Drosophila melanogaster: one gene and its partner. The protein of the gene in region 1 purifies or fractionates together with the protein of each later gene. This does not show direct contact. Each region holds a gene or a part of one and is shown on either strand. Other genes may lie near its edges.

What was found. The genes of interacting proteins can lie anywhere in the genome.
Region 2: the proteins of fj (region 1) and kcc purify together in Drosophila melanogaster (affinity purification with mass spectrometry, with the first as the bait; one large-scale study listed by BioGRID). This does not show direct contact.

Annotation. Positions count from the first base shown.
Region 1 is NT_033778.4:18,231,086-18,234,685, reverse strand, and holds the start of fj (four-jointed), read right to left. Parts: upstream 1,926-3,600; 5' UTR 577-1,925; coding exon 1-576. Other genes in the region: CG46388 (uncharacterized protein), read right to left, coding at 2,392-2,577, 2,631-2,945, 3,044-3,121. UniProt on the Drosophila melanogaster protein: Golgi serine/threonine protein kinase required for intermediate growth in the proximal-distal axis. Phosphorylates specific residues within extracellular cadherin domains of Fat (ft) and Dachsous (ds) as they transit through the Golgi.
Region 2 is NT_033778.4:23,908,546-23,912,376, reverse strand, and holds the start of kcc (kazachoc), read right to left. Parts: upstream 1,768-3,831; 5' UTR 1,554-1,767; intron 987-1,553; 5' UTR 917-986; coding exon 826-916; intron 701-825; coding exon 509-700; intron 190-508; coding exon 56-189; intron 1-55.

The DNA of each region.
Region 1 (3,600 bases):
CCTCCTCTCCGGACCCTTGCGATAACGACCGCTGGCGGTGCGCTGCACATGGAATTCCTTGATGCTGCCGTCGTTGGTGTCCAATTTCTTCACCACCATCGAGTCCGGAGCATCCTTGTCCTGCTCCAGATGGAAGGCATTGCGGAATACCTGCTCGGCACTCAGCTCGTCCGTCTCCTTGATGAACTCCACGCGGTAGCTGCTCAGCGGCTCCACGGCAACCATCTGTATCTGCTCCTCCGGCAGATCTGGCGGGGAGTCCTGGTGGCGGGGCAGGCCGAACATGGGCACAACAACGCCCAGTGCCATGCCAAAGACGAAGGCGGCGAGGATGCTCAGAAGGCAGGCGCGTCGCTGCAGCGAACGGCGCCGGCGCAGCGTCAACAAAGTCATGTGGGTGGCCTCGCTGGGGTTGGATTGCGAAATGGAGCTGGGATTGGGATTAGCCCGATGCTCGGGCGCTGTGATCACGCTGCAGGTGAGTTGCTGTTGCTGGCCGCTCAGGTCAAGGCCCAGTGGTTGCTGTGCTTGCTGTAGTTTCTGTTGTCCCGCTTCCAGGCGCTTGATGTCGTACATTTTGCCGGCGGGCCGAAGATCCCGATCCCTAGTTCCCTGTGGAAGCCCAGACCTCAGGCTCAAAGTTCAAGCCGCTCATGGAGGGCGGCGATGGAAGCGAAAGGGGTGGTGGTACTGGATTGCAGTATTGCTGTGGTGCCTCACAAAATCGTGAAATTAATTTCTGTCTTTGTTTAATAAATATCGGTGGTTCGTTCTCGGTTGCTGGCTTCGTCCTCCGCTCCTCGGTTAGCGACTCTCGGCGGAGACCGGTTCGAATTTTTCCTCTACGATTTCCACAATTGAAATTGAAACAAAAACCCAGAAACGTGCTCCTCCTGCTTTAGCTCCTTGATCGCTCGCTGATCGTCGCTCGTTTATTTATTTTTATACTCTCCGCTGGACCGCGTCGCTTTTTCGCGTTTTTTTTTTTTTGTGTTGTTTTTGTCAGATTTTTTTTCGGGTTCGAGTTCGTTTTGAGTTTGGGGGTTTGGGGTTTGGGTTTATCGATCTATTTTCTGCACGATCACTTGCTGTAATTTTTTATTATACATTTTTGTGCTGGCCGTTTGTTTGTTTGTTTGCTGGCGTTGTGAGCCCGGCGGGCTAATATTTTGCGAGATGGCTAGCTGGCCCTTCGGCCAAACGAACCGAACAGTTTCTCTTTTTGTTTTTAATTTCTGGACTTGAGCAGTTGGCGGAGCGATTCGGTGCGCCGATAAAAGCAATTTCGTGGCTCTGAGCTATTTGCCACACCAGCTAACCGCTAACACACACTCGCACACACACACTCTGGCACACACTTTAACACTTTGGTGGGGTTGCTTCGCACTCGAATTCCCAGATTCCCGATATTCGCCCGATAATTGCCCGCGCCGAGCAAACAACGCGACAAGTTTGTGTGTGTGCGCTGGTTTGTTTGTTTGTACGTTTGTTGGCCGAGGGAGAGGACAAAGTCCTAGGCTCCGCTTTTTAGGCTTTATCAATTTAATTTCTTGTCTCGCACCTTGGCCACTCCACTCGGCGGAGCACCTTCGACTTGGCTGCGAATCGCTTTTATTTGGCCTCGCTGTATTTTAGCCTTTTTGTCCGCATTCGATCTTCGTCGCTGCGCACCGAACGATGTGAGGAATTTTTATGCCTCCGCTTTATTTATTTCGCTGTCCATACATATGTTTGCACTCCTTGCCTCGCGTCTTTTTCTCGTTTTGCACCGCGATATGGTTGGTGGTGCGAACGCGTGTTTAGATTGTCGCACTGTATCTGAATCGGAACTAAAGGTGTTGGTTTCTGGCGTTTGCTATGCTGACGGATGTGCGACTGCGCGCCTGCGTACCGCTCGCTTCGAGATTCGCTGACAGACTGGCCGACGAGCGGCTCTCGCCGGTCTTAGTTAAAGACACGCGGCCGACTCGATCGTGCTCTCACAAGTCGCTCTCTCTCTCTCTTTCTTTTGTGGCTTTTGCACGGATCCTTTTCGAATCTTGCCGGTTTTGAGTTTGAGTTGAGTGGAAGCCACTGCGCTCTTTGAATTTAAGCTGCGCTCTATCTACATGGACTCTCTCTCTCTCTCTGCCAAGAAATAATGAAATAGTTTTAAGCCCGAAACCAGGTGAATTATTTTATCCGACTTTAATTCTTAAGCTAATCCTTGGGTGGGTCTTGACAAACAAATTTACAAGGAATGCCCGAAAATGGTGTTTTTTTTTTTTCAACACTTAATAAATTAATAATTAACTGTATAGATTAAGTTATAGGTTTTAAGTACAAAGCTAACTCCCATATTAATATTATTTAGACAGTTACTTTTTTAATGACCATAAGTTTTATGCGCATTCACAGTAGGGGCTTCCTATAGGCAGAATCGTTGGCAACTTCAAAATAGCCGCCAGTCACCTTGATCTCGAGTCCCAACTCATTGTTGGCATAAATCTTTCCCACAAGAGTGTAGTTAGTATCGGGTAGATATTGCGGAATATCTTGCCAGCCAAAATGGAATCGATTTACCCCATATGTGGTGTTCTAGAAATCAAATCAATTAAAAAACGTCCCAAAGTTGTAAAGAATACAAACACCTTTTTGAAGGGACACTTGTTGGGAAAGTTGACTACAGCTCTGCGAAGTGCTAAGTAGAACATTCCCAGCACTGAGCGCGATTCGGTATGCTTCTTCAGTTGACAAAAGTCCAATCTTAGGTTATTTATCCTCGTTATCTTTTTCTGACTCTTTGGACAGAGTTTGACTTCGCAAGCTCCAAACACCTTGTCAGCATGCTTCTTTTCGCCAAAGGTCAAAAAGACAGTAAATTCCGTCCGGGAATACAGCTGACACACAACCTTTGAGATGACACTGCTCTTGATTGCACACTCTATGGTATCAAATACTATGAGCTGTGGAAAGGGGAAATAAGATAAGCTATCATAAAGACCAAATTATGTTAAATACTATAATAAAAAAATATATGCTTTAAAGCATGATGATGCCTTACCTTTCTTGGTTCCCCGCCGGCAAGTGAAATAGCCATAAATGGAGCTAAAGCAAAAAAGATGTGGTATTTGCGACACATTTTACTAACTAAAGCGAGTAACGCCTGTATTTTTCTATAATGCATATGTAATGGAGCACTTTATTGGGCAATTTCAATTGAAATCAGATTGCACCCACAATTATTAAAACCCATTCAGCTGAAGCGATCTATTCTATTTCCACTCAAAATACACGTGCGTATTATTTGACATGGCCATGTAGAAGCTCATGTATATTTACACTATGGATTTTCACTCAATTTACCTGAGCGACGAAAACACCTTTTGAGTAATGCTTGAATTCAGAGAGAGGGAGAGCGAAGAGAGAGGAAGAGCACATTCTGTGGGAGGCTTTTTAGAGTGCGAGTTGTGGCTGCCTCTGTTGATTTTAATGCTCAAAGCGGCACATTTGCTGCGCCACATTAAGAAACTAGAATTTGCCTTAAAGAGTGGAGCAGTGTGAGGAGCCAGGAAAGGGTTACGATTACGATAGCGTAGTGGGAAAACCGCTCACGAGCAT
Region 2 (3,831 bases), 5.7 Mb from region 1:
GAGGAGTTTGGAGTGAGGCCAAATGGGGGAGGGCTCAGCAGCAGGACGCTCTTACCACACAGCAGCAGGTCAGAACAATCAGGAATCCACACACGGCGCCAGCCGTTCCAACAACCCATGTTAACCGAATGAACAATATGACACCAAAGATGTTTTGAATGCATGGCAAGAACACTCCAATTAGGGTACCTTATGAGACATTGAAACGAGCGTTAGAGATTGATGCTTGGGGTCATCAGTTTAATGAAACCATTTAGGCAGGTGCCCGAAAGTATGCACTCAATCGCGGGAGCGATTCCCTTCGATTGTGCCACACTACTGCACACTGTTGCATACTTTCGAACAGCTCTATAATATTCGCCCGCACAGTGAAGGCTGAAACACTTTGAGGGGATTACAGCAATCATTCCTCCACAGCTTTGTTGTTTGCTGCGATTCCATTGTGCACATGCCTTTCAATATGGGGGTAGATGGAACAAGCAAGTTAATTAATGCGCGGCGAACATACCCATTCGAGCCGATGGAGCTGCCGGCTTTGCATCGGGATCGGTGGCCGCTGGTATCGTGTTCTCATAATTGGCAATTGATGAAATGAACGTTGATATATGGGGCCTGGTCTCCAAATCATCGTCGTACAGATATAGATTTGGGTCGATGCTGGACTTCTGGTTCTCCTCCGCCCTGTGGATATCACCTGAGTCTGTGGATGCACAGGATTGAATAGAGTTCGGATATCTTACGTTATGTAATTAAGCTACTAAGCACTAGTAGTGAACACTATATATGTACATATATACTATATAATTGATATTATCCCCTGCATACCTTCATTTTTGGTTTCGTGAACTGTACCATTGTGTTCGGATGGTATTATTTCCATTTCATCCGAATCATCTTTTGCACTGTTACTTTGCATGTTAACGTTGGTTGTTTGGTTTCAAACCCTTGCTTTAGATTGCACTATGTTCACTTAAAATTAGGTAACACTAGAGGAGAACGTGGTCAAGAACTAAGAACTAAGTGGGCATGGTCCTTCTTCAGACGGAGCTCCACGCATTGGGATTATATAACCCAAAAGGCGTGGCCGCTGCGGTGTATATATTCACATGTCTGCGGACGTGTGCCTATATACTCGAGATTTGGGTTTGGTTTCGGAAGGGAGCTCCTAATCGGGAAATGCCCCAAGAACTCGGAGGTGGAGGTATGATGGGAGGTGGATCAAAAATTGCGTCCGGCAGGCAGGGCGGGCGGGGATGCTGCTGCGAAAGTTGAGCCAGCTCGGACAGAAAAAAAAAAAATATGTAACCGATTAATTTAGGTCAAGGATTTTCAGGCCGTCGTCGTGGGGCGGTAAATAAATGCCGTAAAGTCGTCCTTTTCGCCGTAAAGCGGCTCTCGAGCTGGCTAAATGCACCGAAAGTGCGGAATGCAGCTGAAAATGGTTACGAAATGAGGCCTTTCTATGGGAATGCGGGGTAATCCTCCTCGACACCGAGTGCCCGGATCTGGGGTCTCCGGGAGGGAATTTGGACACACTTTCTGGTTGAACGCACTTGTATTCATGTATTTGATTATTGTTAGAATTTCGTCGATTGTTTAAAGTATGTTATTTGTTAAAGGTGCTCAAAAAGAACTGGTTTCTCATGTTTTCCCGTTTTTCGTATTTTTTTTTAGGTTTTTTGTATTATGCGAAAGAAGACTCCTTCTAAAGTTATTTTAGGCGAGCGAAAACGCTCAGATGTATGCTACTTTTCGTTCGGATTAATAGAAAAACTAAGAAAACTGTTGGTATTCGGCCGAATAAAAATTATGTTGCCCAGGACCCTGAGCGTTCAATTGAGATGAAATCGAAAGCTTTTGTCTACACACATTTTTAATACACACACACTCTCGCAGGAGAGCGAAATCGAGAGCGATGCTGAGCTGAGCTAAGCTGAGCTGTGCTGGGAGAATGGAGAGCGCCTCGTTGCAGGTGTACATTTCCATTCGGTGGCCCACAGCTCAGTGGGGCCACTGAGCCCACTGCCTTGGCCAGGACCTGCCCGCCAGCCAGCCAGCCACTCTCACCCAGCATCCGACGTTCGCTGGAAGGGATTGCGAGAAAGCTGCGCCGCCCTCAATCTCTCACTCTCTCTCTCTCTCTCTTTCTCTCTCTCTATCTGGGAGCTTTCGTCAGGTACTACGAGCTTTGGCTTACAGCAGCCGCGAAATGTGTCACCAGGACATCCTGGATTCGGACTGGGGCAACTGGGGCAGCACAGGATAGGATTGCAGGGCCGTAAGCTCTATCTGGGCATACAGTAGTCACTCGATGGGAGGGGAAATGCGTGTGCCTGGGGGTGAGCAGGCGAAATGTGCTGATGGGACGAAACTCAGCAAGGACCAGATGAAATTGCACACAATCTCTTCAGTGTTAATGGTTCTTGTGTATGTATACATCTTATCTAAGTATGTATAAGTATATATTAAGAAACGAGCTCTTATAGTTAATAGTAAAACTAAAGTAATAATAGTGGCACAAATAAAAATGAAAACATCCTTACCATCGTACGACCCATAGTTCTCACCTAGGGTTTCGTCGTGGATGTCCCCCAGTAGCTTGCCGCTCGCAGACTCATCCTGGTTGTAGTCCAACGCGGTGTCCTCGTCAGCCTTTGTAACTTGAAATCTATCTGGCATATTTGTGGATGTAAGGCACTCTGAAATGGGAATGACATTAGTATCGTCGTTGCTAACATGGAGACCCTGCCGAGGGCACGGCTAGGAATTAGCGATCAAAAGCATTCCCGACGATCGCTAGTCCAGTGCGGCTGGTTCCGAATTCACATAAGCTCCCAAGATAAGGATAACATTTCTGTTCCGAATTGCAAAGCCCACCAAATAACTAAGACGGTTAGTCCGCCCCCATCATTACTGCCGCACCTCAACTGGTGTGATAACCCGTGATCGAAGGTATCTAGTGAGTCGCACTATTTGCATGAGATTAGTAGTCCGCTATCACATGACCATCGAACTTGGTGGGTGTCTGGCCGAAATGGGCCACTGCACCTGCGATGTATGCTCCACTTTCGGGCAGAGATAAAGGCTGTTTCCGATCTGTGGCGCTAATCGCTCCGCACTCGCCGCGAGCTGTGAGCGGCGAGCTTAAGATAACGACCATTTAGTGCCATTTAGTATGCCTCAGCGGTGTTATGTCACCGGCTTGGTTACATAAGGCACGACTTGGGACACACAAGATGCGCTGCGATGTGCCAGACGTCGAGTGGGAACGGTTTTGGCGGTTTCCTGACCCTGCCACCGTGATTCCAGCCCCCACCCGCAGCGACGAATTGATAGGCGAGCATGTGTGTGGCGCTCTCAGCGAGATCGGGCTCATCCCGAACCCAGACGAGGCAGCTGGCCCAGGTGGAGGCCATTACACGCGCGCTGATAAGTGCACAAATCTGTTCCCATCGATTGGGCCGTCGCAGCCGCGTACACACAACAGGGGGCAGATAGATTAGTGCAGATACGGGGCTATGTACGTGGAACACAAAGAGGTGCATGCAGATACGTACATCCAAACACGCACATACGCACGCATGTACATATGTACATACGCAGAGGTGGTGGTGGTGGCGGAACAGGATGGACTGGACGGTGTTATCTAACCCGAGGATGTGCCCGCCCAGGCCAGCCACTGGACATCCGGACACTCGTGCGGGAATGCTTTTGGGGGACAGCGGATTCACTCGATTCGATTTACTTGGGCAAGCGCCTGGAATTCGCCTTCACCGACGATCCGATCCGATCCAATGTGATGCGATCCGATGCACTTGTGCTGGGCAGAGC